4 linked regions of the Drosophila melanogaster genome follow. The protein of the gene in region 3 interacts with the protein of the main gene of each other region in a pairwise test. Each region holds a gene or a part of one and is shown on either strand. Other genes may lie near its edges.

Region 1 (7,191 bases), on a different chromosome or scaffold from region 3:
GGTTGGTCGCTTCATTCTAAAAGCTGCTTCCATTTGCCGCATAATTGCAAACAAAAGCGGAAAATATGTGTGCCAATCGGTCGAGATCGAGCTCACAGTTCACAGCTCAATTTCAAGTAGAATTCGAGCTGAACAGTGATATCTAATTTCACTTGCCACCTTTATGAACCTCAAGCCTCAAACACTCCGCTCCAAAGTAACCGATGAAGTATTCAAAAATTACATTGTCTCAGGTGGCAATTCACTTGAAGAACAGTGGGATCAAGGCACAGAATAAGCAAATAATATTTAAGTATCATTTATTTACACTCGCATTCTTTAAAAGTCTAGGGAAATTTATATAGAAAAAGATAGTTCTAATGATAAAGCAACCAAATTACTGAAAGGACTTTTCTCAACCCTTGGAAGTTTTGGATATCCCAGGAAACCCAGAAACATTGTACCCACATCAAAGATGTTGAGTCCCCGCCAGATTGAAACCCTTACCAAGTGTTCCACATCCAATTGCCACCATTGTTGGCGACAGATTTTAGCCGCTTGTTAGTGGCTAACAGTGCCGTACACAAATACACACACCGAGAGCTGGGTTAGCATCGAATCCTTGTCACATGCTGGGCTACACCTTGAACCCGGAGACCCGCGTGCGATGGATATTTTTCTGCGGCATTTTCCGATTTTCCCGCTTTTCCAACAAAGCATCGTTTACGGGAGCAACCGCAGCGCCGGCACAAGGTAACCTGCACACACATCCCGACCGTATAAACCATATAAATAAACAAAGCTCTGGCCGTCGTTCATCGTCCGGCGTCCCTACGCACTTTGTCGTGGAGCGAGAAACGAGAGGCAACTGTCGAAACTGTCAGGATGTCAAATAAGCGACAGTGGGTGGCAGACAGCAGGAAGTGCGGTGGCTCCGAGTCCAAACCCAACGCAGTGCAGAGGAGAGTAGTACAGGACCAGAACCAGAACCAGAGGCGGTATCAGGATCAGCAGAAGGACCACAACCACCCTAGGCATATTTATTGGAAATCTGAAACAGCTCGGGTGTCGACACTGCGAGAAATAAGTTACTTCTTTTCACTATAAAACCGATTTTGTATGCTTTGCTTATGTGGGATTCTTCACACAGCTTATTGGCTTAAATTATATAAATGCAGGAATAATTAGTCATTTTTACTTTGTTTATATATTTGCTAAATGTTTTTACTATGAATAATGTCGTTAATTAAGTTTCTTCATAAAATGGATAGTAAAATATTCTTAAAATAATTCTCCAAGTGCTCCTCTTACACCCACTCCAGTGGCGAACACTCCTGACCATGTATCCGTGTCCGGCATCGGGCACGAAGAATTTGTTACATGAAATTGTTAACGGGCTGAAGCCGATGCCTCGACTCGACTGCGTTTGATGCCTTTTGCTGATATATGGCCAACCTTTGACATCCTTTAAACGAGCAACATGATGCTCTAGATTATGGCCAGGAGATTGGCCCGACTTTTCCCCGTTGACTCCTCGGTTTGCCCGGATTGTCTCACTTGGGCGATACGTCAATGTGACAGTTTGATAATTTATTTTGTTCAAATTTTGTTTTTCCTTCGCTGGGGAAAAGAGCGCTTAAATAAGTTATCAACGTGGACCGACGGCCATGTAAATGGCAGCACGTAAATGAATGAAATTATTTTGCAACAAATTAAGGCAAATTTATGCGTCAAGGCGACAGGACAGGGGATTCGAGATGGGTAAGGGAGATGGGATCCTGGAAGCCTTGTAACAGGAAACACAATCCACAGGCGAACAAACAAAAGCGAAAACGGAACAGCACGAGGCGAAACGAAACGAAACGAAACCAACAAACAAACAAACAATGAAACGAAAAACGACAGCCTCGAAGAGTGAAAAGCGACGAGTTTTCCTTCACCGAAATCTGAGCAAGGCTTTGTGCAACAAAGTGAAGAACCCGGCTGCCCCTTTTCCGCATTTACAAATCCCCCCACCCCTTTAACGGGTCTAACTGCGTCCGCTCTGCACTTGTACACATCCTGACATACACATATATATTTTTTATTTCCCAGCCAAGTGAGGCTGGAATCAAATGTCAATAGAGAGTACATTTCATTCGGTCGGGTGACTGGGTTTTTCTGCCCAGCGCCACCCACTTTTCAGTTCCCCGCATTGTAGCTGTCACAGTGTTTGTTTGCGGATTTGAAGCTTTTCCTCTTTGCAACGCGCTTTTTTGCCACGCCTGCCGTTGTCCTTTATCGAAGGAGCGGCTTGAGTATTACGAACTGAATGCAACACCTCGATATTCTCGATACCTTATTTAATCTCATCGGCATTATCAAAATGAATCCACTTATCTGCTTTCATACTTTTTGGAATATTAATATAGTTTCTTGTATTTAAGAAATAAAATGTGTCAATCAATGTATTGCTTTTCTTAAAGAAATTTTTCCAATTTAATTTATATTTTTTTGGGAAATCGTCACCTAGAGCATTTCGAGTTCGTGTGGCCTTCCTCAAGGATCTCTAATCTGCTTTCTGGTTCGGATTCTGGTTTTATTTCCGGGCATCCTCCGATGCTGTCCGCCCCTTTGCCCGCCCACCGACTAGATGCTTTGGACTTGCTTTTTATTTGCACGGAAATGTATAATTTTTCCGAGTCAAATGTAAATACTTTTAGCGTATTTTTGTGGGATTCATCGCCTTGAATTTTTTGTGACTGGGGGCCTGGGGCGTGGCACATGCAAATGACACGCCTGATGCTGCGTAAATAATTTTAGCGCTCTCTCTTTTGGCATAAAATGCTAAATAAACATTTTATTCTTGGCAGAATTCCTTCTTCGAATGTGGGTCAAATGGAGTGTCCATAAAAGGCGCTTTTATCCCAAAACCAGATGCCGAAAATACAGTTTAATTGTATGCATATTGGCTGCGGTTCCGTTTGAGTTGGTGGAAACGTCACGTTTCAACAGCTCAATTTTCGGTTTTGCGATACGCGAAGAAACTTTTGCAATCCAATTAAATTCATCGCAAGTCGAAATCTCGTTTTGACAATTTATGCATCCTTGTGAGACGCCACAGGCATATTTATTCCCATCGATGGCTAGACAATGACGCCTGCGGTCCAATAAATAACCGTCCTTTTGACACAATCGAAATTGGCTCGCAAACAAATTTCTTTTGTCGAGATATCGCCCTTTTTTTTGTGCCCACTCGCACCAGAGGTTAAACACTTAACCCGCGTTGTGGGAAAAATGTGACATCAAATTATGGAACGTAGGCAAATCGCGGCCGTTATCAAAAAATGTAGTAGCCATGGTAGCCAGACTGAAGTCCACGATATGGTTTGATTAAGCGAAGTCGTGGGGTAAATTTACAAGAAAAAAACGAAACGCAAATGAGAGCGTCAAATATATTAAGGCATTTGCATTGGAAGTATTATATTATTTTTCTAATGATCATGATTAAAATGAATTACTGAATTTTTTCCGATATAAGGCTAAGCTAGTTAACATAGATTAAAACATCAAAGCTAACACATCTAGTTCAGTCTGGGCAGAAATAAAACTTAAACGTATAAACATTTTATATATCCCAAAAATAAGAAGTAGAACCTAAAAAAAAAAAACAAACACATTTTGTCTTATAACCATGACGACTAAAAGAACAAGGTTCGATAAAATGAACCTGGGAGTACCCGTTCACTCGGACCCCTATGAAGTGGAAAATGAATCGGCCTCGTCAATAAAAAGAGAAACCGGCGAGAAGGTCATGTCTCATAAGGAGCTAATGGAAAAACTGCATAAGGAGGTGAAGCTCACGACGCCGGACTTCTTCGCCCATGATCCATCCTGCAGCTCGGACGACTCCGAAGATTTCGAATTCCTGGAGACTATCAAAGAGCGAGCCAGACGCATATCCTTCGTACGACGCCGAAAGCTGCACTACACTGAGTTCTCAACGGTCGAGTTGGCCAGGCGTCTGATCCGCGAGGAGTTCACAGAGTCATCGGAGAGTCAACTAAGCGTGGATGATGAACATATCTCCGAGATCGCCGAAGAGGAGTGTCCGCCCTGCGGCACAGACTCCGACGACTTACTTCCGTACTTCCAATACGATCGGGCTACAGACCAATCGATGATTTCCGACGACAGTCTGCCAAAGGAGGATCCCGAGCCCGGATTCCATCCCGCCCATCATTGCTATAATAAGCTTATAAGCCAGACTCCTGATCCGCCGATAGTGTACGTTCCCGCGGAACCAGAACCGCAACCGGAACCGCAACCGGAACCGCCAGTGGAACCGCGACCGGAACCGGAACCAGAACCAGAACCGGAAACAGTACTACCACCAACTGCTCCGGAAGTCATTGATAAAACAGCTCCAGAAGAAGAAAAACACACTAGGGTCCTTGACCGTGGCGAAAATATTGACCTAAAGAATTTGAGCGCCATACAGAAAAACATAAGTTCGAGTGTGAAAAAACATACTGGTCAAAAAACGCGAAATTTATAAACTTAAATTGATTGATGCAATTGATGTATATGGGATCCCATTTCTCATTGTGCATTAGATTAGTGTTGCCTAAATTAAGAAAATGTTTCGTTGGCTGGAAATCAAAATCCAATCCGTATAGCCCAAATGCTGCGAATGTTTTTACTTCATATTCCAGAAGTTATATAAGGCTTTATTTTAATCGTAAAGTCAAATAAACCCATATTCGTAAATGCATACAAGCTAATGTAGACACCAAATAACCGTAATCGCCTCTGATCTCAAATGACTCCATCAACGCTCTCTTTCCCCAGCGCAGCTTTAAAAATATAGTTTTCTCGACCCGGAGACCGCACAATTATTTGGGCCATAAAGGACAAAACCCGCACTAGCGCACACATGAAGGGACGGAGGACATTCAAAGGGATAACTAAGTGTGCACGATAATGACGCCTAACGGGTTCCATTCTTCTCCTTGCTTTTTTTTGCGTGGGTGGATACTAGGAAGATGAGACAATAAGGAGCTAGAAGGACAATGTGCTGAAATTATTTCAAAAGTCTTTGTGTGCGATGAAATTCCGTAAAATACAGCCATTTTGTATTGGCCTTTTAATTTAATAAAATTATTACTCTTAGGGATAATATGGATTGGTTTTAAGTTTACTTTCTGTAATATGTAATTAATATTTAGTTAGTTCAATTCATAAACAAGAATTATGGTATTTTCATTCATCACAATAATTGTCAAGCAAGTGCCGATTTCAATTCTTTTGTTTGTTTTCAGATCTGTATGAGCTCAACTTACATTACAATATTTCATTTATTATCCATACCCATTTTTTTCATTTATGCAAGCCAACATGGCTTTGTAGCCTGTGCGTGTAAATGTTTTTGATTCTTTTAAAATATTTTAATTACGGAAGTTTACACATACTATTTCTTTCTTTTGTTTTCTTTTTTGTGTCGGTCATGTTTTCCCTTTCGATACCGGTCATTGTTTTGTTTAATTTTTGTATACACGTTAAATATGTATAGTGATAAGAATTGTGCAAGTTTTGTTTGAAAAAACTGCCACGTCCGTCGGTAACTCTCTTACCTCCATGAGCTAAAAAACAATTTACAGCCTACACTTTTGAAAACCGAGTCAATTACTCTCCAATTATATTCGATATCGGATAGGCGAAGAGCCACAGTATCTTGTTTTCTCTGGACATGTTAAACCTAACTTAAATTTTAAGAGATGCAATATAAATATAAGTTTAACATCAAATTTAATGCCGATATATAACTTCAAATCTAGCAGTATCTTGTGTGGCACATCACTTTGGTGGTGTAGCAATTAAATTCGTCGGACTTAATAGCGTTTTCATTTAAGTAATCTTCAACAATTTCAACCCAGACGTTCTCGATTTTTGGCCAATTTGGCGTTCCTTTCGGCCATGAAATGGAAATAAATATCACGTCATACGATCTGCAGCAAAATCGTCATTCGCCTAATGAAGACTTTGTTGTCTATGAAGGCTAAAGCTGGAAATGTCTAGACATTCTCGGTTGCTTGAACCCCTCAGCTGTGGATGCAGTCCCAGCTGCTGCCCGTCTGGAGTTAAAAAACAAGTCGAAGAGATTGTAATCCCTACTTTAGTATACTACAGCACTTTTATGACATTTAATTGCCGTTTGCTTTTAGTCCACACACACGCTTCTTTTCTCGAAAGTTTGTTTTTAAAAGGGATACAAGGCTAAATAAGTATTGAAAAGCGAGTGCAGCTGACCTTTCCTTAAATTGACCTTAAATTGAAGCAAGCAATTCTCTATTAAGTGATGTGAAGAGAATCCTGTAACTTGGCACACCTCAAACAAACCAAATTAAAATTAAATGTATTTTAGGTCATCGCAATGTGCTGAAATTAATCTTTAGCATGGCAATTTGGTTAATTTTTTATGGGGCCCACAAAGTGACACGTCATGCCGGCAAATCAAGCGAAGTGGTCTGCAAGTGCCTGGTCCTAATCATCATCCAAACATTGTGGCCAGTCATCGTGACTTATGTCAACCCGTTCAAGTGTGTCCCTGCTAGAGTCCTTGCATGTACATGCCTCGTGTAGCAAGGATACAAAGCAATTGTTCACCGCAATCGGCGGCATTTGGAGTGCTTTAGACTTAATGTGCGTCGAGGGGAGCCAACTGCAATCGGCATTCGTCGATGGCAATCGAAGTTTCTAGCGATAGGTGATCGGTAATCAAGGATGGAATGAGTTCCCATGACTGTTTTGCATTTGAAGTGGCTTCATGTTGCTTTGTTGCTCTAGATAGAACTGCTTAGTAATTCAATTAAATGCCTAATTAATATTAAGTATTTTTGCGGCTTTGTAACACATTTATTTGAATTTACGACTTCCATTTTTTTTAGTTTTTTATTAAATTTATATGTAATGATATCATAAGCGGTAGACCAAATCCCCCAAATGCCACCTTGATTGATTGAGTGATTGATTGACCTTATTTGTAAGCACTCATGGGACAGTTTACCCTTTTGACCAACTGCCATCGAGCGTGAAGCTGTCAAAACGTGGCTATGGAACGGAGCGGACGGTATCCATAAAATATGGCTTAAAGCCAGGCATCACGTGCCATGAGTGTTGACCCCAAAAGAAAACCGAAAATCATAACTCAATGTCGGGCTAACCAAGTGCAAA
Region 2 (8,073 bases), 3.2 Mb from region 3:
GAAATCATCCTCGCATTTTCATCTGAACTATGGTATAGAATCAATACATCTAGTTAATGAATCCTTTAAGAATCCCTAATTTAATTATGCTCTATTGTGCTCTAATCTTCAACACTTTTCTTTCAGTGTGGACTCCCTGATGCTTGTGGAGGAGGGCTTCGAAGTTGTGTCCGTAGATGCCTCTGATAAGATGTTGAAGTACGCCCTCAAGGAGCGCTGGGCCCGGCGAAATGAAGCTGCCTTCGATAAGTGGGGTAAGTTGGGCAATGATCAATAAGCTTAGCCCTGTATCTATATCTATTGTTATCCTACAGTCATTGAGGAAGCCAACTGGTTGACACTGTACGACGACATTCAGGAGCACATTCAGGATGGTTTCGATGCCGTCATTTGCTTGGGCAACTCCTTTGCCCACTTGATGGACGGGTTCGGGGATCAGCGGGAGCACAAGCAGGCTATTGGCAACTTCGAAAAGTGCCTCAAGCCTGGAGGCGTCCTGCTTATCGATCATCGCAACTACGACAATATCCTGGAAACGGGAGCTACGCCTGCCAAGAGCATCTACTATAATGTAAGTACCAATTTCCCATTTAAAATCTAATGCCGATCTGTAGAATCTAATCCAATTAGCGTGTAGTTCATACCTCCTATAGTGAGTTGTACAAATTCTAGCGAATCATCTCCTCAATTAAAAACTATCTGTGAAAATAGCTTAATATTGTCGCATCATCGCGGTGATAAGAACGGATGATCTTGTTTGTGAACCCCACATAACACATCATAATCATCAATCGCCTTATCAGTTACACATCTTTCGATTCAATTAATCCAATAATCCAATGATGACTTGCTTCTAATTGCAGACGAGTCACACGGCGGACATCAAGACATCCGTGCTCTTCTACTGCGGTAAGCCCGCCCTGGTGTCGATGGACTACCTGATCGCTGGCAACAAGTTGACCAGTGAGTTCCGTCTGTCCTACTATCCCCACGGGCTGAAACGATTCCAGGAGATTCTAGCCGAGATCTTCTCCGCCAAAGCCAAGCACCAGTTGTATGGTGACTTCAAGGAGATGAGCCAGGTGAAGAACCCCGCCTTCTACATTCACCTGATCGAAAAGCCACAGGTTTAGATTTAAGTTTTTAGTTGTATTCACATAAGGCCACAAGACACATCCATATAAATATACATAAAGTTCCTTCGATTCGCACAGTCTCGAGTCTCCTCAGTTTTCTTCTAAACCATTATGCAGAATCGACCCACGATGGAGCCAAAGCACAGGGTCACCATGGCGGCCTCGATCACGAACGGGAATTTGGCCTTCACGTAGTTGAACATCCCGGTGTAGATGTTCGACAGGGCAGCCAGTAGTATCAACGTCATCTCTCGTCCGCCGAACTTCGCTTTAGACTGTCACTAAAACGCAATAGCTATCGAAACCCTCAATTCTTGGGGCGAGTGTCATTAGCCTTGCAAATGCTTTTCCATTACGTTTTCAATGGGTTCTGCTTTGCAGAGAAAATGAGTAACGATCGAAATGCGATACTTTAAAAACCAAATACTAGAAAAATTTGTGGTATTCTAATAACAGTGGAGCTGAAAGTTGGAAAACTATGTTACAGCAGTACTACAATACTTTGTATTTCCGAATTATGATGTATGAAGTCTACTATTATTATTCATTATTTTATTCTTATTATTATTTTATTACTATTATTTTACTTTTTGAACTATAATCCGGAAAATGGGACAGTACGTCAAGAATAGATTTTACTGTAGTAGACTTTGTAGCACAATACCCATGGGTATCAAATGTTTTTGTGTCTTCATGAAGGATCGTCTAGCAGAAAACGCTGACGTATGCTCATTAAAGTGTCATCGAATACAAAAAACAGAAGCCAGCTAACGAAAATAGGACTTAATTGACATGTTTATTAAAAATACGTTTTAGTTCTACGCAACGGCTTTACTATCACGAAAACGTGGTGAAATCTTAAGAGCGTGCTTCCCAATCCGAATTTAGATGCCAACGATTTTATTAATGCGCTTGACGTCGGTGATCTGGCGATCGATCTCCCCGGTTAGCTGGGTAAGTATCTCGGTGATAGTGCGGTGCTGTTTCTCCGGCAGCTCGTACGCGTTCTTCTTGAGGTCCTCTTGACTCTGGGCAATGTGGTAGCGCTGCTTGTTAAACGTCTTCTTAGCAGTCTCCAGTCCAGCGGCCAGGCTCTGGGTGACCTTATTAAGTCGAATCACCTCCTGCGAAAACTCCCGTTCCGCAATCACACTATTGGGTAGTGAGGCATTGGCCCTCTGCATCAGAGCGTTGCACTTGCGGACGAGCAGCTCCTGGTTGTAGCTAATCTCCTCGAAGCGCTCGGCAAGCTTGTGGGCCCGCTCGCTGATCAGTTCGCGTTCCTGCTCCAGGTCTTGGATCTCCTGCAGCTGTTGTTCCTTCTTCAGCTGGATCTGGTTGATGTGGCGTGTAAATGCGGCGCGCACAAGGTCATGTCGTTTAAGGTACTGCTCACGAAGCACCTCGATTGCCTGGTTAAGCAGTTCGAAGCTCTCCTGGGCGGATGGCGAGGAAAGTTTATCCGCCAAGATGGGCTGGTTAACACTACGTTGCAAAAGCGATTTAATCGTATCGACAAACGGTGGCCCACTTTCCTGCTGAGACACTTCCGAGTCAACTGGCTTATTCTCATTAGGTGTAACCAACAGCTGGGCATCAATTACCAGCTTAAGGCTAATCACCTGACCGCTGCCCAGCAGTAGAACTATACCGGCAGGAATTTGTAATAGGGCAAGTCCAAAGACTGCGTTCACCGTCTCACTGGAATCGAATTTTGTGCACAGAATGTACTCTGCACTTGCAGAGACCGCCAGCTCTAGACGATCTTCATCGGACTCGCTTTCCAAGTAACGTTGCAGCTCTGCGATAAAGCTGACCGTAACGGCATGAAGTCCTGCGTTGTGGTAGGCAAAGTAGCGAAGCTCATTGATCAAATCCCGCTTTAAGTATATGGGACAGTTGCCTCCTTCTTTTCCAGTTGCGGGTGCAGATATTCCCAGCTCAAGTTCGACAGTTTCTAGTACATGTACAACGTATTCGGCGGGTTCAATCAACACAGAGTCGTCAACCTCATTGAAAGAATGCTCAGTGGCCTCCGCCTCCATAAGCAGAGCATGGTGAAGCTTTCCATTGGATTCAGCTATAACAATGGTCGGCGGAAGTGATGGGATAATCATTAGGGCACAGGACTCCAGTCCATAATTGTCATGTGCCTGTGGCGTTATGGTAACGGGGCCCTGCAGGCGCGTATTCTCCGAATCCACGCCGGTCATCAAAATGTAGATGTTTCCATTCTCGCGGAGCACAACCATGGGCCACTCTATCCTCTCCTGTTTCGGCAGCGATTTGGCCGCCACAAGGGTTTTGTTGCTCTTATCCAAAGTGGTTTCGTTATTGCCGGCTGTTTCTGGTTCAGTGACACGTGGTTTTGCAGCAGGAGCGATGTCAAAGTCAACGGCTAGCTCGCCAAAGTCGCATAGCGAGTTATTGGCCCCACTTCGAAGCACCGGGGGACCCACCTGCCACACGTGGCGCAACTTGGAGTGATTGTACACTCGAATCGTGTTGTTGTTGAGCAGCACGAGCAGCGTGGAGTCTGACACGGAGTGCGGATGCCAGCGGACCTGGCGCACTTCCAAGTGCGGGTTTTTTAGGAAAAGCTGAGTGTCCAGGCCGAACGTGCGGCAGGTGATCACTGGCTTGCCATCCTTGTAGTATCCATCGGGGCCCCAGCGGCGGGGCAGCTCCATTATGACAACGCCGCGCGGTCCACTTAGTGCCACGAGGGAGCCCTCGTTGGAGGCCAGCACGCGGTCCACCTCCAGGCTCACCAAGCTCGATGGAATCAGTGTCTGGAACTGGATATTCACCTTTGCCGCCAGCGATGAGCGCCAGTTGCGAACCAACAGACAGCTGTCCTTCGCGTGCCAGGCAAAGAGCAGATCGTCCTTGCAGTCCAGCAGGTTCTGAGTCCTTTGCACCACGGGCAACCCATTGCGAATCTTCGCGAACAACTCCGTTTTGTTCAATTCCAAGACATCGGTGAGCGACATCGTTTGTTTATGCTTCAATTCGTTGCCCGGCTTGTAAGTCAATGCTAGTGTGATAGTAGTCTTCGGAAATCCGCAAAGTATTTTTTTTTAGTATTTTTTTAATTCGAATTCATGAAACAAGAAATTTGTTAAAAAAACGCTAACACCAACATTTTCGGAAAATGTACTAATAATTATTGCTGCTTAAACTTTTCAACGAAAGACGTTAGCATAAATCATGCTATAAATTTAAAAAATGGAATAATTGATTAATAGTTAATAAAAGATTATAAAAGGTAGATGTTATTATTTTTTAATATTGGTATAATTCACAGAACCCATTAATTCAACAACTTTTAATAATCTATTTAAAATCACTAAGTGCTATAAACATTTAAGTTCTCTTTTGGAGCTCCAACAGTGGCACAGATTTCAACTTCATCGTAATATCTTCAACAAAGTATAGATTTTCGAAGGGAAAACTCGTTTTAAACCTATAATTCCGCAATAACTTGGCTAATGTAACTTTCGCCGATATTAAGGCATATCTCCAACCTAAACAGAAGGAAATAATAAGAATATAGCTAAAACAATGGTCATAAATTAGCGATCACTCTGTTACCTATGCAATTTCGAATGCCCTTGGTAAAAGGTATATAGGCGTACGGATGCTTGTCCTGGATGTTGTGGGGGAGGAAATGATCTGGGTTGAAGGTCTCCGCATCCGGACCCCAGATCTTTTTGCTTCTGTGCATGTGATAAATGTCGATGGCGATCTGGACCCCTTTGGGAACCACTATACCATTGGACAGCTTCAGATCCTGAGACGTTTGTCGGGATACGACAGGAACAGGGGGTATTACTCTCATGGATTCGTTGAGGATCAGGTCAAGGTACACCATCTGCTGGGTGTCCGCGTAGGATACATCAAAGTCTCCTGTGTTTGGGAATATCGTCTTTATTTCCTCAAAGGCCCTCTCCTGGTATTCCGGAAACATCGCCAGCAACATCAGGGTGTAGTACACTGCATTAGCCGTGGTCTCAAAAGCTCCAAAAACGATGATATTCGACTCATCCTCAACATTCTTCAGGGTAAACACTCCTCGTCTCATCAAATCCGTGACCAGATTTAGAAATAGGTTTTTATCATTGGACTGGATGGAAGGTAGTGCTCCCATTTCGTCCTCGGCCAACTTTCTCTCAATTATCTAAAGGGGTTAAGAGATTCGTAAGTGAATAAGCGGAGGGAGTAGTTGGAGGTGCTCACCTTCCGAATAAACTGACGAATCTCAGTTTTGGCCTGGTAGTAGTGCGATTCCTTTCCAGCCAGCTGCCGGCAAAATCGGCTATTGAGCCACGGAGAGAAGCACATATCTGTCATGGTTTCCAGGATGCTATTAATGGATAGATGCATTCCGATTCCAAGTCAAAACTCACCATTGGTATCGCCCCAGCAAGGAATTGCTCCTGAAGCTCTCTTCATCCTTTACATCGCTGCCCATGGTGGTTTCTGCTTTCATATAAGTATATCATATATTTAATATCAGATCGACTCTTCTAACTGAATTATGCATTCTGGCTTTCGACCACTTTGTATGCAAACAACAAACGTGATAGCCATAATTTATGAGTCTTTTTTTAAACAAACAACACATTCTTCTTTACTCACGGGTGGCAATTCCCAGGGTGAAGCTCTGCAGCAGTGGAATGAGATCCTTCTCGCCGTCATCCTGCAGTGGTTCGAGTTGATCGAGCAGAAGGGCCGTCTCCCGGTTGAAAATGGGCAGGAAGCTGAGTAGCACCTTGTGGCCGAAGGCGGGATTCAGCAGCTTCCGATGGATGCTCCAGCGGGGATCTACACAAATCCACACTTAAGTAACTCCCACACTCGATTCCATAGACACACACCCTTCAGGCTGAATAATCCAACTCCGGCGCCATCGTCCACTGCCTTGTAAATAATGCCCTTGTTGACGCAGTGGGGAGATGTGAAGATATCCTGCACCACTTGGGGATCACTCACAATCATAAAGGGAATGGGCCCCAGCCAGGAGAAAATTGTCGGACCGTGCTTGTCGAGAAAGCAGCCGAATGCGTTGAGGATATCTGCGCACGGACACTCAGATTATTACTCCCGACCAACACAACAAACATCACAACATCCAAAGCACCTTCCCTGCGCATCAGCCAGTGAGCCATGCCCAAAATGGGATATCCAAGTGGTCCCGGTATCTTTAGCGTTAGCAGATAAAATCTGCGCCTGCTCCACAGAAAGTAGATCCAGAGCAGGAACAGCAGTCCACACCACAGCGTCCAGGTCAGCATGCTTAATCCTTTGCCAATGTCCGCTATCCAATTGTAATAATCCGTGTGCCAACAATTTTCGACCGATCGGTTTGAAGTGCGCCAACAATTTGATTGGCCAATTCTCAGTCAATCGACTTTTTATAATCCGGACGTGTTGACTGCTTTGGGACTCGATCGATCGATTTGTTGTCACGCGTGGAGCCCAGCAATCGACCTGGTTGACTCTCCTCCTCCCAGGAGAGAAGAAGCCGTAGGGGCTACGGGTGGAGACCCATTGAACCGCAGATAGCGCGCCGTTTTTTTTTTATTGGGACTCGACGTGGGGGGTTGCGCATACAAATAGCTATAATTTTGACTAATGGCCAGTGGTGACATGCGCCACACGCTCCAAGAATGCGAATTGGCAAACGACGATGCACTACGTCACTGATCGATTTCGATCTGAAGGGGGTGGGGGCGGGGTGCCACTAATGGCGTTGTATAACCAATCGAATCTCAGGTGGCAAAGTGCGATGACACAAATATTTTATTAACGGTAGCGTACGGTCAATAACAATAATTAGAATAACAAGATGGGTAAGTTTTTTGAAGCTAGTTTTAATGGGCGACCAGGTCTAAATATAGGGCGCACTTGCTTTTCAAGTTAAAAACATAAACAGTGTGGAACGAGTTAACTTTCATTTAATGAGAAAGCTTTGAAATAGTCGAATTTTTCAAAACATTATAAATAAAATCAAGTTATACCGCCACTTGACGTCCATACGCACAAATGTACGGATAGACGGACATGTCCAGATCAACTTGAAAGTGAGATAAATACTTTATAAGGTCGGAAACGCTTACCCTTTTTTTAGTTCCCGAACAACAATTCAATCGAACAAATAAAACGCGATGTGTTCTTATTCTGTGTATTATTTATTAAAATTTAAAATATTACTTTCATTTGGTTTTCAAACTGTTTTTAGCCTAGGTATATTATGCACGTATGGATGATGGGAAGGCGGCAATGCGTCTCCACCTGATGATGAATGAGCATATGCTTGGAAACATGTGCGACATGGCTATGGTCTATATAAAGAATGAACACCTCGATTTTGCGCTGGCTAAGCTGCGGGCTCCGACGACGAGATTACAGCGGAAAATGGCAGAACTTTTCAATTCGTTTCGAAAGTTTTGTGGAATTTAGCGTTTTTGAGTTATTGCGACGACTGCCTGTCTCCCTACGACGCCGATCCGTTGGTCACGGCGAGTTTCCCTGAAAGATGTACAGGATAATACAGTTGAGCGGGTTTTCGGGTGGAACGATTCGAGCCTGCCCATGCGATGACTCCGAAACACTCAGCGAGTAGTATGCGACATAAGCTGGCATTTATTTACAGCGGTTCCAAGTCGATGAGCCTTACGATCTACAAAGCAATCGGGGTCTATAGGAATGGGAATGGGTTTTAGGGGTTTAGGTGTGATGGGTATGCAGGTGCAGGGTTAGAGACAAGGTGCTCGGAATGTGGATTGAACAGAAGTGCGTCTTAGTCATGCTATTCGATTACAAACTCGATCCACACCAGAAAGGCAGAGTACGGCAGGCGAAGCAGAGAAGCTCTAGCAGCTAGCAACTAGGCAGTGAGTGAGTGAGTGGGTTAGTAGATGGAGTAGTTATA
Region 3 (7,931 bases):
TACACTGAATTAGGATTCAAGCTGCAGTATTTCCTAATGCTCATGTGGCCATCAAATTGATTACTCAATAAAATGAGATGTTAAGACTTATGACAATGAATTTATGAAGCCAAACAATTAATTTTTCCTGTGTAGCTGTCGAAGTTGCTGTTGCCGGAGCTAAGGCTGGAGCAATGAAAATTGCTGAGAGCGCCCCGAGGGCTTCCAACTTGGATTGGGACTGGACATGGTTTGGACCCGGGTCTCTTGCCGCTGCTCTTGACCACGATCGATAAGGCTCGCACACATACGGCCACTTCAGAGACGTGCTTTTCGTGTAGGTTATGTTTATGAATTGTCTTGCAGATTTTTGCACACGGAATTATGCGTTTATCTCAGAGGGTTAATTTCACTGTTTGCTGCTGTTGTAGCTGTTGCTGCTGCTCTATTGTTGCTGTTATTGCTGTTGTTTTCCATGGCCTGGGTAATTAAATCGCAAGAAGCTGATAATATATGGAAAAGGGCTCAAAGTGTGCAGGAAAATGGTTTGTTTTGCCCCTTTTTTTGGCCAAAAGGGTTTTCTGGCTCTGCCGCTGCAATTTCTGCTGATGCGCTTGCTGCTGTGCATTTGCCCGCTAGGAAATTATTCATGATAACAGAGATTGCATTGATTGATTGTGTGGCTGCACTTGGGATGGGTTCGACTCGGATCTCCTGATCAGGCTTTGGGTGCTCCGGGGTGCTTTGCGGGGCTTGTGGAGGGGGCCGTGGGGTCGCTGGGTTCCTGGGAGCTGTTGCATCGACGGCTACCGAGTCTGAGTTATTTGGGCTATTAAATGTCTGTGATTTGGTCATAAGTTATAGGAACATCGACAATCAATTGTTGGCGGGTCTAGGCGGTTACCACATGTGGCAGTAGCTGGCCCCTGGCAGCTGAATACTGAAACTTAATAGTCTTCGAAAGGAATTTGGTAAGAGTACTGTATGAAGAATATTCATATTTAATATGGAAAACCCGATTGGCCTTTATTAGTTTTCCCATTTCAATTGAATTCATTGAATTTCTTTTTAATTCAACTCTTAGCATTTCACTCTGACACTTTGACCTTCTTACTCTCTTATAAAGTTTAATTACTCCTAATTAAATTACTCCAGCTATTAGCAACGTAGGTCATAAATAAATCCACCCAAAACTAAATATAACTGCAGAAATAAACCCAGTTAGGAGCCCTTAAGATATGCAATGAAAACGTTTTTGGCCTCGATTCGCACAGAGAGACAAGCCCAAAGTTGAACAACCCAGAAGAGGAGCAGAGTGGGGACCATGTATATGACCAAATATTGGCACAAATGAGCGTGTCTCTAGTGCATTGACGAGTCCCCCTTTGGTATCGATCAAACAGAAGACGAGCCAATACCGGAGAGATTCCAGGACAAGCCCCCATCGAATTGGTGAGCTGCCATGGCGACAATTGCATTGCTGCGAAGGAAATGCTAATGGGAGTGTTTTGGAATCTTGCTGACAGGGCACGACGTGGCACCAAACCCATTACCACGGCACACTAAACCATATATACCCATGGATGGGGGATATTGGGCCGAACGAGTCTATAAAAGCCCCGACTTGTGTTTGCCGCCGTTTCAGTTCAACTTCATCGCGTCGTCGTCCTGTCGCTCACTCTTTTGCAGAAGCAAAGAAACAATTAAAGTGCAACCGCAAGGCGGAAGGAAGTGCATACCACAAGTGATTCCCCTGCTCCATTGCCGAGTTGCATGTTGGATTGTGCCACAAACTTTTAGCCAAGTTCCCCCCATGCCCCCATGCCCTTGTGTGTAAAATGAAAGCAGACAACTTCTTCAAGTACGGCGCCCCTTTGTACCAACCGAAAAATACCAACCGGAGCCACTCGCACTCGCAGAACCAACCGCAAGCCCACACCGGCAACATCGGCCATCTGACATCGTCGCCGCTTCTGACGAGCGACGACCTGCGTCATCTCACCCAGCAGCGGTCCACCGGATACTCGGACAGGGAGAGCATCGCGAGCGTCAGCAGTGCGGGTGGCCGGATTAAGAGGCGATCGAGGTAATACTTTCGGAAGGAGGAGAAGGGCGCAAGTGGGAGCTAAAACTTTCGAGATGTCTTGAGATGTGGTCAAAAGTTGTTTTCGTTGTAGTTATTTCCTTAGGAACTGACAGATGCAGTTTACGTCAACTTCTCCTTGCGAATAACAAAGCAGCTGCACAACATTGTAGGGTTAAGTCATCAAAGGGCACCTTAGGGAATAAAGCTTAAAAAATTATTTTTTAATTGTAAAGATTTTTTTTTTGTGGTCTTCGTTTTACAAAAGTCATTTTATTACAGCCAGGTGAAATTTAGACCATAACAGATTTTAAGCAATGCAAGAACGTAGAAATCGATATATTTTAATCAAAGAAACAAAAATAATGGAAAAAATCATGTCTAGATATATTCTCTTATGTCTTATCTCTTAAGTCTGGGCCGTATATATTGTTGAGTAATCTAGAAGTTATATTAGACTTCACTTAAGGAACTACTTTTAAAATCGTGTGCTCTTTCCTATTATATAATACTTCATTTTATAACTACAAAAATTAAAAGTTAGAAATCTTGGACTTACATTCAACCCAGCTTTTTTTAAATTCCTTAGTGTATGTTAACACTGATAGATAGTTTGAATCATCGAGTTATATGTTGCTCTATTACCACTTGCCATGGGGTATCCAGGATTTATCAACCCTTGTGGAGGTGTTTGCTCAACCATGACGCATGCACTCGGCCACAGGAGCAGGGTTAAATTTTTATTTTGGCCAACCTGTCGTCCTGGCAACAACTGCAACACCAACTCCAATTGTCACCCCGAAAGGCAGCTTCAGATAGGTTTTTTTCGTTTCGGGCACAGTTCCATTTTCCACTTCAGTTGCTGAGCAACTTTGTTCCGTAGTCAAATTCAGTCTAAAAATGTGATCCTAGATGTGCCCTCCAACTTTTTTTTAACTTTTAGAAATTTCCCGATGAAGTCTTCGAAGGGAGGCATCACCAAGAAGTGCAAGACTATGGATTACACCAACTACGCCTATAATGAGGCAGTGGGTCGCCTCAAGGTAATGCTGGCCGACAACTCGTACGTGGCACCCAAACTGGGAGGAGGAGTGTCTTCCTATTTGCGCAACCTTAACGAGGATTCCGGGGACAACTTCTCTGACAACCTATCGGTTCGTTTTCCAATCAATTCAGTGCAAGGAATTCCTGTAACACTACATATACTTCTATAGGTAATTGAGCGACCCGTCTTCTCGGACATTTCCAAGTACTTGTCGCCCAGCCAGAAGTCGCGGATCAGCTCCTATCGCCCCAAGAAGAGCTATGCCTCGGGATATCTCTCGGCTTCCAAGGAGAATCTAGCTTCCACTCCTTCGCTTTACCCGAGCGCCTCAGTTCCGTCTGCTCCTCTTCCCTCGGACAGTGTCCCGGCTCCTGTGGAGATTTTCAGCTTTATCGAAAAGCAAGAGGACTACATCGAACAGCTGGAAAAGGAATCCAAGTACTGTCGCAACGAGCTGACCAATCTGTTGGGTAAAGTCAAGGATGTGATCAATGAAAATGAGCAGTTGACTGAGAACGCTCGCTCTGAGTTGGTGGGTCTCGGTTCGGGAAATTCGAAGCATCCAATTGTCACTACTAGTCCTTCCTCGGACAGTGACGAGCACTTGATGTTCGCCAGTGGACGTAAGACCCCGTCGACCCCAAGGAAAGGTGCCTCCAAGGGACAGGTGCAAAGTCCTCGTTATGCAAGTGCACCCAATATCGTTTACGAGGCCAGAATCAGCGAGCTGGAAGCCGAACTAATGCAGGCCAGCATCGATCTGAGGCGTCTGCGTACCGAGAACGAGGAGCTAAAGCGGAAACTGAGTCATACGGATCCCCTAACCACTGTGGCCACCTTGTCCGGGGGGTCCAACTGTGAATTGCATCGCAAGCAGCTGGAGAGCCTGCAGCAGGATAAGCAAACTCTGGAGGAAAGTGTTCGACACTTGCAGAGGCTTCTGGACGAGGCAAAGGCTCAGGGCCAGGGTAGCGCCTCGTCCAAGCGATATATCAACGACTTGATGCAGATGGAGCGCTCCCAGGCCGAGCTGGAGGTACGCCACCTCCGGGATGAACTGGATCGCCAGCACGAGCGGGTCAGGGAGCTGCAGCACGAGATGGCTAGGCGGTTGGCCGAGGAGCGGGCCAGTGCCGAAAGGCGCTACAACAGCCAGGTGGATCAACTGGGCGGAGATCTGAGTTGCCAATGGGAGCAGGTGTCCAAGCTCCAGTTGGATCTGGAGCGTCAAAAACGCTACGAAACAGATCTCAAGCGGGATGTGGCCAGTCGCAATTCGCAGATCGAAGAGCTGAAAATGGAACTAAGAGCCAATAGGACCACCTTCCTGGCGGACATGGCGCAGGTGAATGCAGAGAAGCAATCTCTGGAGCAGGACATCACCTCGCTGCGCCTTCAGTTGGATCGGGCTGCCAGGGAGGCCAAAACGGAGGCAGCTCGTCTTAATGCAGAAATAAATTCGCTGAGGCAGCGCCTTGATCGCGGGGATGCTGATCTCCTGCACTCCAAACGAGAAGTACTGCGGCTCAATGATGAGATAGCCAATCTTGAAAAGGAGGTAAATCATAGTATTCATTGTATTAATTTTTAAGCCTGTTGTTTGCTTATAAAATTAATGTTTATTGCACATACAGCTTGCTTATGGGGAGTTAAAGAACGAGATACGACCTACCAAAAAGGATCTGGACAAAAGGATCTCTGAATTGCAGGATAAGCATGGTAAGTGGGCCGAGTTAACACTTTAGCTGGATTACTTCTATCTTTCTACACCCTCTTCACCTATCACTATCCTCCCTATGAACTCTGGTTAAGCTATTGATGCTCCTATTGTGTTCTGCGTGTGTGTCAAATGATATAAAGTCAACTATATTCCAAAGATTCGAACTCGAAACCAACTACAGAGAAATATTCAATAGTTTATCCATGAGTTTGTTCTGTAGCGCGTTGCATTAAGTCCCATATCAAAGTACATAAAACATATATAACTAAACCGTTAAATGTCTGTTTGTAGCGGGAACGGTAAATGAGCTTGAGGAAATGATAACATCTCAGAAGCAACTCATGGATAAACTGACCAACGAGTGTAAAACCTTAACGGGCAAATTAGAGGACACGACCTACAAGCACAAGTAATTATGATCAAATAATACCTAAGCGTATCTCACCTAGCAATTCTGCAAACTCAAATCGATTTGGCTTTTAGAAATCTATTTTATACTATAGTGTAAGTCTAAATAATACCAGTTCGATTAAGTTTATATAGTCACAGTTAATTATTACAAAACGACACCCAAAAAGGTATGTGGGCAATTGATTGAAAGCCTTTTGACATACGGAAACCACCGCACATCGCAATATGAAATTCGAGGCCAAACCAAAGTTTTCCCACCAGTACATTCCGAACACCAATTTTCTTTTCCGAGATTCATTCGTTCCACACCAAAGCAAAAGCAATAAAATAAACATCTCGACCTAGCTTGAGACTGGATTAACACGCTGTACTTGTACTTCTTCAAACCTTTCTTTTGCTGCCTACCCGCCACGCAAATTTCATGGTAATTAGAACCAATTTGCGATCTTGTGATGCCAACAACAACAAGCGAGCCCTTGACCCCAACAACAATATCAGCTCCTACAGCATCAAAAGAAAGCGCAAACGAGTTCACTTTGCCGCCTAATCTGGAACTGACCGATTATCCAGGAGATGCGGCTGTTGATGTCGCTGCTGCCACAACTGCGGATGCTGTTGCCGGCGATGGCGATGAGATCCTGCAGAATATAATCAGAAGCAATGAGCGGCTGGCCAAGGAGTTGGCAAAGATGCCGCCGCTTCCCAAGATCTCCAGCTACAAGAAGTCCAGAGCCAGAGCAGAGGCACCAACGCCAATAGCAGCAGCATCTGCAACAGCAGCGACACCAGCGTCATCCAAAATCAAATGCTTTTGCCCCAGTTTCATGCGGCACAGACACGAGCATGAGCACATCCATACGTTGCGCAGACGCAGCAGCGGCAGCAACAACAGCAGCGAGACGAATGTTGCATGTTGCCGCAACAACAGCAGGGCAACAGCAGCAACAGCAACATCATCAGCATCGCCAACAGCAGCAACATCGTTCAGCAAAGCTCGTACACAAACCACGCACAGCAAGAGCATGAAATGTCACGGCCATGAGTCCACCGTAGACACGCACCACCAGCACGAGCACCACCGCACCACAAGCAGCAGCAGCACCACCATCGCCGAGCCGCATCATCATCCTGGCTGCTGCCATCCATGCAAAACGGATCCGTTGCCTTGGCTGCAACAGCATTTAGTTTTGAACCAGATCCTCAGTAGTAGTAGTGCCACCGCCTGCCAGCCCACGTGTCACGTGCAACACTTGACGGTGGATGCTGATAGTATGGCAGCCACATCGGCAGATGCCACATCCTCCACTGCCTGCAGAGGTCCTGGCAGCAATGCTCTTAGCGCCAGCATCAAGCCAAAGTTGTACTTTGAGCAGCTGCTGCGTCGTGACGGTTGCCACAAGAAGCCGCGTCCGCCCGTCAAAGTGGACGTCAATGTGCGCCTGGTGCCCAAACAGCCCATGCCGAAGGTCACTCGGTCCCTGAACGAGACGTTCGTCAAGGAGGTGGACGAGGTGGCACAGGCGATGAACGAAACCTTTGTCAAGGAGACGTCGCCGGAGCTGGCTCGGATCGATGAGCAGCTGGCAGAGCTGGAGAGCAATCGAGAGCGCGAGGATCACGAGGATCACGAGGAGGTGGACGAGGAGACGGAGGAGCAGGAGCAGGCCACCAAGCTTTGATAACGTTATTCTAAGCCACAAGAATAGTATTAAGTTTTAGGTATATGCATAGGGATAATCCATTTGATTATATCAATTTATAAGAATATTTTCATTTCCTAATGAAACTATTTATAATTTAAAGCATCATTTACGTGCAATGAAGCGTAGTAAATTTAGATTATAGCACTAGTTCTTATTCTAGCAGCAAATTGTATTTATTTTTGCGAGCTTTTAGTTTGCCCTGATTTATGTTGACATATTTTCTGTTTTTGATGAACCACAGTCTGGAGAAGCAGCAGCTGAGAGCCACAAACGAGCAGCTAATGTCACGCCTTAGGCAAATCTGGGGCAAATACAAGGCACAACTGCCAGCGCACCAGGGATCCCCGGAGCTGAGCTCCGAGGACATGCGGGAGGAGCACCCAATAAAATCCGTGACGGTACCTAACAGTATTTAACTAATATCTTTTTCCCTCTTTCTTTCTTCCATCTGATTCTCTTTCTATCTTTCCGTATCTTGATCTGTTTCCCTACATTTAAACTTTCTTGAAGAGAGGAAATATCTGCTTTACAATCGAATCTAGAGTATCTGTCCAATCGAATGTTGAGTAATGAGGAGCATATGAGTAAATTAGATAGCTCACCACACGATTATACTAGCTTAGTACCCGGAAAAGGTAAATTCCCCAATTCCCGTCAATAACCAAGTAGAGCACCTCCATCCCATAGTCCCTAATTCTAAACTGATTTAACCACTCCATCAGAATCGGAAGCTGAAGTCAAGGAGGCGGATCTGCCCGATAAAGACCCTATTTAGAGCCTCGACTCACACGACGACTCCACCCACACACCTATAACACTTGATTGGCGATCCACTCTAATCAAAATTCTTGTACTCACACAGCCGCTTACGACTACCAGGCAGCGACATATGGCACCCCAATCGAACCCATACAAAGCACCCCACAACCACACAACAGCGCCAGCGACAGTGATTACACGTCCGGAGGGATTGGCTTGGGCGATGGAGCA
Region 4 (7,884 bases), on a different chromosome or scaffold from region 3:
TCGCGCTGTTCCTTCAACTGTTGCTCCAGTATTTGCACTTTATCTTGGGACGCCGCTTGTTGGTTAGCCTGACTGGCGGCCTGTTCCTCAAGAGCAGCGCTTCTGGCCTGCAGTTCCGTATTCTGAGCCTCCAGCGACTCAATGTACGAGGCATCCTCCTGTAGCTTGGCTTGAATCCCTTCGTGAAGTGTCTCCAGACGGGCGATGGTCATCTCAAAGTTTGCCTTATCGCTGGCGTACTGTTGCGCCAACAGAGCGTGTTGCTCCTGGGCCGCCGTAAGCTGGACACGAAGCTGTTGAAGTTCTCTCTCTGCCACTTGGAGGGATTCCGCTTGTTGTTGCTAAAAATTTTTTTTATTTGTTGCATTAGAAGGTAAATGAGGTTCAAGTTCAAAGTTCAATCTCACCGATTGTGATTCCAATAGTTGATGTGAAGTTTTGGTAATGGTATCATCGCCTTCACCGGCTGCCCTGCTCCTTTCCAGCTTAAGAATCTCTTGTCGGAGGGCAGTAATCTGTTGTGGTTGATTATTATCTTCGACATCAAATATGCCTAAAAATCGATTACTCACCTCCGCATCCTTTTCTAAACGCAGTTGCTCGTGAGCGGCCCGCGCGTTCCGCACATGTTCCACCTCGCTGTCTTGATCCTGCTGCAGTTGCTGTAACTCACGCTGCAGCGATTGAATCGTGGCATTGCGAAGCTTTATCAACTCCTTGGACTTTTCGAATTTCTTCGATTTGGCCTCTAATTGACGCCGCAAATCCTCGACAGCAGTGGGCTCTTCGTTTACCCTCTGTCCAAGATTATGGATTTCCTCCTGAAGCTTAGAGATTTCTTCCCTGAGTCTGGAGTTTTCCTGGCCCAGTTGAAAGACTTCCTGATCGGCTTCTTGGCGCTCGCGTCGCAACTCCTTGCTTACCAGATTGGCATCTTGGAGCTCCGCATCACGTTCTTGGATAAGTTGCTCCTGCTCTTGTATTTGCTGCTTTAACTGACGCAGGGCATCGCGATTTTCCAGGTTGAGATGGATCTTGGCCTTAAGGTCTTCGTTAAGCTTGCTGACCTGTTGCTGCAGTTGTTCAACCCGATGGTTGTCCACGATGGGTTCACGTTCCACCTCTTCTTTCTGCTTGACAAGCTCCTGCTGTTCTTGAAGTTGACTAGTAAGTTCCTGGACCTTCTGCTCGAGATCGGCATTGTCCTGTGTGCGTTTCTTGAGGTTAAGGGCATACTTCTTGAGTTTCTCGCGCAGTTCGCGGTTCTTGAACTGCTCCTCTTTGTGGGCATGTTCTAATCCTTGATACTCCTGGATTTGCTGGTTCAGGGCATCGACAGTCTCCTGGCTGGAGGTCAACTCTCTGACCTGCTGGGCAACTAAACTTTTGCTAACGCGCAGAGCCTCTCGGAGCTGATCCGGATCCTCTTTGGCTCTCAATTCGCGCAGCTCCTCTTGTGCTGATTGCAATTCCAGCATCTTAAGGTTAAGCGCGTGCTCGCTTTCGCTGACACTCTCAATGAGTTGCTGCTTCTGCTCGGCAACTAGAGTCTGTAGGATACTCAGCTCGCCCTCCAGAGATTCGGCTCGGGCCTCTAACTCTCGACGAATCCTTGTTTGCTGCTCCAGTTGCTTCTCATGGCTCATTTCCTTGGAGTTGAGCAGCTGATCGAATTGCTCTGATTGCAGCTGGAGTTGTGTGATCTCGGCACTCTGCCTGGCCACCAATTGCAGCTGTTCTGCTTCGGTTTGACGCAGCTCCTTGATTTGATCTACCTGCTCCTCGATCTGCTGGCGTTGCTCGGCCTGCAAGGAGCGTGCGTCCTCCAGCTGGGACTGCAATTGCAGGATTTCATCTTCCCTTTGAGAATCGGAACCAACTATGGCCAATGGCGCTTCGGTTTCAGGATAGCTTTCCCGCAATTCATCCAATTCCTGGCGCAATCGGGAGATCACCGCCTTGAGTTCCGCGTTCTGTGCGTTTAGCTGCTCATATTCCGCAAGAGCTTTTCCGTTGGGAGCGGTCACGGCCACCACGGTCTCCACAACGGTAACAGTTTCTACCGCCGTGCTCGCTTCCTTAACCTTGTGGAGAAGCTCACTCAATTGGGTGTGACAGTTCTTGGCCTCCTTGGCCAGTTTCTTGGACACATTGAACTTGGCCTGCCTATCGTTGGCCTTGCGATAGGCCTCCAATTCAGAGTTGAGTTTGCTCAGGGATTTCTCGCATTTCTCAAAGAGCACGGGGCCTCCTTCGCCGGCGTCCAGTGTTGCGACAACTTCGGAGGAGCGTTGCATTGAACTGAGTTCCTGCGAGAGATTGGATGAAGTGGACGTGGAGGAGATCAGATCCTTCTCACGTTCACGCTGCAACAGCTGAAGAGAACTTGAACTTTCCTCCAATCTTGCCTGGAGTTGCAAATTCTCGGCCGACAGTTGCTCCAGCTTGTCCAATACCTCTCCGCGCTCCTGGGTGAAAAGTTCGAGACGTTCTCTAAGCTGGGAAAGAGTTTCGCCAGAGGAATCCTCCTCCTCAGTTTGCTCCGTCTGAGTGAGCTCGCTGACGTGACTTGGCCCTGGTGGATGCACTTGCTTCTGCTCCTGGGCGTCGCCCTCGCTGGCCGGACGTCGTTGGCCTAGGCACTCTAAGTGATGACGCTCCACTATTTCAATGGATTCCGCAGAACTGGATGAACTGAGTAAGGCCTCTAGGGCCTGTTGCAATTCCAATTTCTGCTCTTCCAGCAAACGAATTGTTTCCAGCTGCAGTGGATTATTGGACTCCGTCGATTGCTCTGGCTGGCGGTCGTCCTCTTGCATGTTGGCCAACTGCCATTGACCCTTCTCGTCCTCGAGGACGGCGATCCTTTGCTGCAGTTCCTCGTTATCAGCCAACAGTGAAGCCAACTGCTGTTGGCCATCTTGGGATTGGAATTTCTGCAGCTTCTTTTCCGCCTGCTTGCATTTCAGCTTTAGCTTTATGTTGGCCTTGTTAGTTTCGTCCAGCTTTAGCTTCAGCTGCTGCAGATCCTCCTGCATCTGCTTGCTGGCGGCACTGTCCTCCGAATGGTCCTCCAGAAATAGGGGCTTACTGCGACTGCTTTGCGCGAGTTTCTCCTCAAGGAGACGCAGATTCACATTGAGCACATTGAGTTCCGTTGTCTTTTCTGCGAGTTCTTCGTTTTGGGCAGCCATTGCCGACTTCTGTTCCTGCAGCTCTAGAAGCTGCGCCGCTATGGTGGCTTCCAGTTCCTCAAGGCGCTGGGAAACAATCTCATCGGTCACCTGGAGCTTCGCCTGGGCAGCAACTTGCTGACGCAACTCCTCATTAGTTGCCTGTAGATCAGCCAGCTGGTTGGTAAGCTCCTGGAGCTGTTTGGCTAGCTCCGCGCTCACCTGTGCATCGGTATGCGCTGCTTCCGATTGCGGACTGCGGGAAGCCTTTTCCTGCTCTTGTTCCAACTCCAGATTACGCTGTCTTTCGCGCGCCGTGGTCAGCTCTTCCTGAAGTTCACAGCGCGTCGTTTCTAACAGGTCGTTGACGTTTTCCAGCTCTGCTAGTCGTTCTCTTAAGACTAAAACTTCGCCCTGGAGGCGAGAGTTTTCCTGCACCTTCAGGCTATCCTCTTCTGCCTGGACCACACGCAATTGCTCTAACTCCTCGTTTCGCTGGGTGAGCGTGCGCTGTAATTCCGCACCGGATAGTTCCAATCGCTCGATGAGTTTAGCGCGCTTGGCCAGTTCTGTACGCAATTCATTTAGCTCCTGTTCCTGCCGGCCCTGCTTGAGTTCCGTCAACTTCATACGACTCCTGAGCAACTTCACCCGGCTTTCGTCCACCGCCTCCTGACCCTGGGCCTCCAAGTCCAAGGCAGAACGATGGCGGGATACGGGTGGATTGGAGACAGACGCCGCGTGTCGTAGGTCCGTCATGGAAGAGCCCAGCTCGGCGGTCGTTTGGTGGCCAATATTCGACTTTACAGAAAGAAGAGACTTGGCCAGATCCCTCTTGCGCTGCTCCAACAAAGCACGATTTTGTTCCGTGCGCTGTGTGAGCATCAGAAGCTTCTCGCTGCCACTGGTTTGGAGTAAAGAGACATCACCGGGGTCGCTGTCCTTTGTGGGTGAGACCAGTGGAGTGGAGGAGTCGCCGGAGCGCGTCTTCAACACGGTGAGCTTCTGACCCAGTGTCTTAAGCGACTCCATGGAGTCACTCATGCTGGACTTGTGTCGCTCATCCTGGGATTTCCTTAAGGCGCGTTCTTTTAAGGCAGTGAGGCGCTCCTGAAAGCAATCATTTCGAGTCATTTAATGATATGAACCACTTGATTCACAGCGCCTAACTCACCTGCTGCTTGTACAGATTCTCTTTAAGGCTATCCAAACGGCCCTTGCCTTTGGTGCCTCTCGTTGTGCTGGCGGATACATTCTGTAGGGTAGATTCAACAGATAATATTGAATCCTGCTTCACTTGGGGGATTTGTTCAGATTTACCCACCTGTAACGAGGACAGATCGTTGGAGCTGCCCGCTAAGCGTATATCCGCCTCGCCATATTCGTGATCGTCGGGCTGCAAGTGGTCATGATCAGTATGGACGCATGTACGTACAGGGAACACCAAGTGAAACCCACCTGAACGATGGAGAAGTCGTAGGAGCTCTCCAAAGCACCCGAATCTTCCGCCATTGTCGTTTCAATTACAAAATATTACTAACTATCCTAGCGTACCGGACCAAATGCAGCAGCAATAACAAAAAAAAAAAAAAAACCAAAAACAAACAAAAACACAAATCGGGGGAATCGGGAATATATATGCGGACTGGCTATCTGAAGGACCGATTATATATCCACGGTGGCTGCGCAGCGCTAGCTATCGACATTGACTGCAACGAGAGAGGGTTTACCATATAGCTAACATATATCATCCGCTTCCGATCGGCTAGAATTGTCTTTAGCTTTGAATTTGCGTTTCTTGTTGTTCTTTTTATTTTATGGAATTCGTGGCACTGACGTGTGCACCTCTCTATAGATGTGTGCGTGTGTGTGCGGCTGTGTGTGTGCGAGTGGGGCTGTGTGTGTGTTTTGTTTGCTGTTTTTCCAGCGCTTGTGTCGATTTTCGCCTGGTTTCTGAGTTACAAGCCACTAAGCACTAGATTGCAACGTAAGAGCTTTCTTATGTGCACGCTGACAGATGTATATTTACCAATTCTAATTAATGCCAGCGTAAAAACAATTCGATACCAGGGCTGCGCAACAACTGAATAGGGTCACAAAGCCCTGGTAAGTTATCGAATGACAGATGGCTCGATAGCACTTGCGCTCGTAATCAATCAATCGATTACAAACTAATTCAAAAATTTTGCATTAATTTCAAATTGATTTTATTTATTTTCATACAACAAATTATACTAGTTTGTGTATATAACTTGTTATACAACCGTTTAATATGTCTGATGCTTAATTTTAGACATGATTGGTTAATTTTTGGTTTTGGCTAATAATATTATTGCATACAATGGATACATTAGTAAATAAGGACTACTTAAAAACAGGTCAGGGATTCGACACTTAATAATAAAAACTACCACGACAACATCGTTAATATGCGAGTTATGCAAAACTGATAATAAGGAACCATTAGACTAGATGCAACACTTAAGTACAAAAGAAATAACCCTAGCCTCCAGTGTTTGTTTTTTTCTTCATGCTGCAGGAACAAGGAACGAGGTATGTATGGTTCGGAAGAGATTTCTATGATTTTAGGACCTCCATAACCGCTGCGTGTCCGCCGCGCTCCGCATAATCCATGGCGGTCAGGCCGAGCATGTCCTTCTCGTTCGGATTCTCGAAATAGGGCAGGACGTATTGCACCACCTCCGGAAATCCGTGCAGTGCTGCCACGTGCAAGGCCGTCCTGCCCGAAGGATCCGACTGGGCAAGATCGGCACCGGCGTATTGATAGGACTTCAATCTGATCATCGATCCCCTAGCAGCGGCCGCGCACAATTGCTCGCCCACCGCTCGCGAAGAGCCCGTCAAATGAGCACCACAGTTGATGAGCAACTGGATGATCTCGTGGCTATCGGTGGCGACAGCCTCCAGAAGTGGAGTGCGGTCATACCGATCACGCACGTGCACGGACACCCCGTTCTGCAGTAGGTACTTAACGATCTCCACGTTTCCCAGCTGACAAGCCAAGTGTAGGGCCGTTCGCTGGTCATGATTTGTGCCCGACAAGTCGGCGCCATAGGCTTTCAAGTTGTTGATCTTCTTGGGATCACCTTCGGCCACAGCGGCGTTGATCATGGCCGGAAAGAGCGTTTCGCCCAGCTGATCCAGTTCTTGGGGCGAGGACAAGTGCAGAGACCGTGCCACTGCGTCCACCAAGTCGTAGTCCTCCATTTTGGGAGCCTTTAAGGAGGTCAGTTCGCCCCTCAGGCTTGACTGCATCATCTATGAAATGCACACATTGTGGATTATCCATATTTATGTATGTATTGAATTATAGTCGAAACTTACCTGCTTCTTCATATCGAGTGACCACTCCTCCTTGCCGATGACATAGGCCAGCTTGGCCAGCGCCGCCTCGGGCGTCATATCGAAACCGGGAATTACACCGACATCGCAGAGCACCTTGCCCGTATCGTAGATCTCCGCCACTGTGCCATTGGGACACTGTGTACAATTGATGATGATAACGCCTCGTTCACCAGCCGCACGCAGTTCATCGATGAGATCTTTTCGGTTCGATGGTATGTTTCCAGATCCGAAGGATTGCAGGACAACGCCGCGAATCGGTGGCGCCAGGAAAGCCCGGAATGTGGAGTGCGAAATGCTCGGAAAGATTCGCAGCAAGCCGACGTTCTCGTCGAGATTCAAGTGTACGCAAAACCTTTCAATAGTGCATGGCCGGAATATCAGGCGGTAGTCGACGTTCACATCAATGCCGATCCTGGCCAGTGGTGGAACATTCGGTGAGTCGAACGCGTCTAAGGCATTCGAACTGACCTTCACCGTCCGATTGCCGCGCATCAACTTATGGCCAAAGAAGATGCAAACCTCCGGAATGATGTAGTTACCGGCTATGATCAAGGCTGACGTAAAATTGTCCTTGCCATCGGTTCGCGTCTCAAAGATGGGTATTTGGGAGCCCGTGATGATCACCGTCTTGCCCAAATTTTCCAACATGAAAGACAATGCAGATGCGGTGTAGGAAAGCGTGTCGGTGCCATGGAGCACCACAAAGCCATCGAAGAACTCGTACGATTGCTAGACAATAATTTGGAAAGGATTAATATTACCTTTCATATATATATATATGTATGTACCTGAATATCGCTGGCGATTCGCGCCCAATCGTTCATCGTCATATTGCTGCTGTCCAGCAGCGGTGTATATTCCGAGATCTGGTAGATAACCCGGCGATCTACGCCCTGCACAATGGGCAGCACCAGTGGAGCCATCGATGCAGATGCTCCAAAGCGGCGCAGCGCGTACTCCTCATCGTGGATGTTTGGATATTTGCGGATGCTGCGCACCAGGGCATTGGGAATGGGAGCTAACACTGCGATAATTATAGAATATTAATATTGATAGTCACAAACTCCGTGACAAATTAGTTTCCTAATCAAGATGATGATTTATGGTCACGCTTCGTGTGTCAAATGTTTACTAAAATACCTAATTAGACCACTCAATAAATAGCAAGCAAATAGTCAATATTTAAATAGAAGCATCAACAATCTGTTGACTGCCAATTGATTTGTTTTGTTTACATTCATACCAACAATTTCAACTTTCATACATATTATTCGAATAAAATGTTTTCAAGTGCATTGCTCTTATCATATCTGGCCATTTTCTAAGACTCCCCTTGTTAGTAAAA

Evidence for each region.
Region 1: the proteins of CG45105 (region 3) and CG12620 interact in a two-hybrid assay, tested with the Drosophila melanogaster proteins (one large-scale study listed by BioGRID).
Region 2: the proteins of CG45105 (region 3) and mbo interact in a two-hybrid assay, tested with the Drosophila melanogaster proteins (one large-scale study listed by BioGRID).
Region 4: the proteins of CG45105 (region 3) and lva interact in a two-hybrid assay, tested with the Drosophila melanogaster proteins (one large-scale study listed by BioGRID).

The regions. Positions count from the first base shown.
Region 1 is NT_033779.5:17,084,073-17,091,263, forward strand, and holds CG12620 (uncharacterized protein), read left to right. Parts: upstream 1-3,568; 5' UTR 3,569-3,652; coding exon 3,653-4,516; 3' UTR 4,517-5,114; downstream 5,115-7,191.
Region 2 is NT_033777.3:12,674,873-12,682,945, forward strand, and holds mbo (members only), read right to left. Parts: upstream 4,181-8,073; 5' UTR 4,130-4,180; coding exon 2,021-4,129; 3' UTR 1,615-2,020; downstream 1-1,614. Other genes in the region: Gnmt (glycine N-methyltransferase), read left to right, coding at 127-254, 315-571, 864-1,133; CG43630 (uncharacterized protein), read right to left, coding at 1,238-1,384; Cyp313a4 (cytochrome P450 313a4), read right to left, coding at 4,503-4,663, 4,731-5,316, 5,376-5,502, 5,546-5,618, 5,778-5,963, 6,017-6,214, 6,280-6,433; kar (karmoisin), read right to left, coding at 8,053-8,073.
Region 3 is NT_033777.3:15,911,691-15,919,621, reverse strand, and holds the start of CG45105 (uncharacterized protein), read left to right. Parts: upstream 1-1,614; 5' UTR 1,615-1,817; coding exon 1,818-2,065; intron 2,066-2,899; exon of another isoform or gene 2,900-3,005; coding exon 3,006-3,216; intron 3,217-3,276; coding exon 3,277-4,665; intron 4,666-4,741; coding exon 4,742-4,826; intron 4,827-5,118; coding exon 5,119-5,236; intron 5,237-5,670; coding exon of another isoform or gene 5,671-6,917; exon of another isoform or gene 6,918-6,957; intron 6,958-7,182; coding exon of another isoform or gene 7,183-7,339; intron 7,340-7,451; coding exon 7,452-7,576; intron 7,577-7,803; coding exon 7,804-7,931.
Region 4 is NC_004354.4:3,960,070-3,967,953, forward strand, and holds the start of lva (lava lamp), read right to left. Parts: upstream 5,259-7,884; 5' UTR 4,686-5,258; coding exon 4,632-4,685; intron 4,570-4,631; coding exon 4,498-4,569; intron 4,429-4,497; coding exon 4,348-4,428; intron 4,284-4,347; coding exon 573-4,283; intron 516-572; coding exon 408-515; intron 342-407; coding exon 1-341. Other genes in the region: CG6428 (uncharacterized protein), read right to left, coding at 5,751-6,452, 6,519-7,268, 7,328-7,563. UniProt on the Drosophila melanogaster protein: Lva and spectrin may form a Golgi-based scaffold that mediates interaction of Golgi bodies with microtubules and facilitates Golgi-derived membrane secretion required for the formation of furrows during cellularization.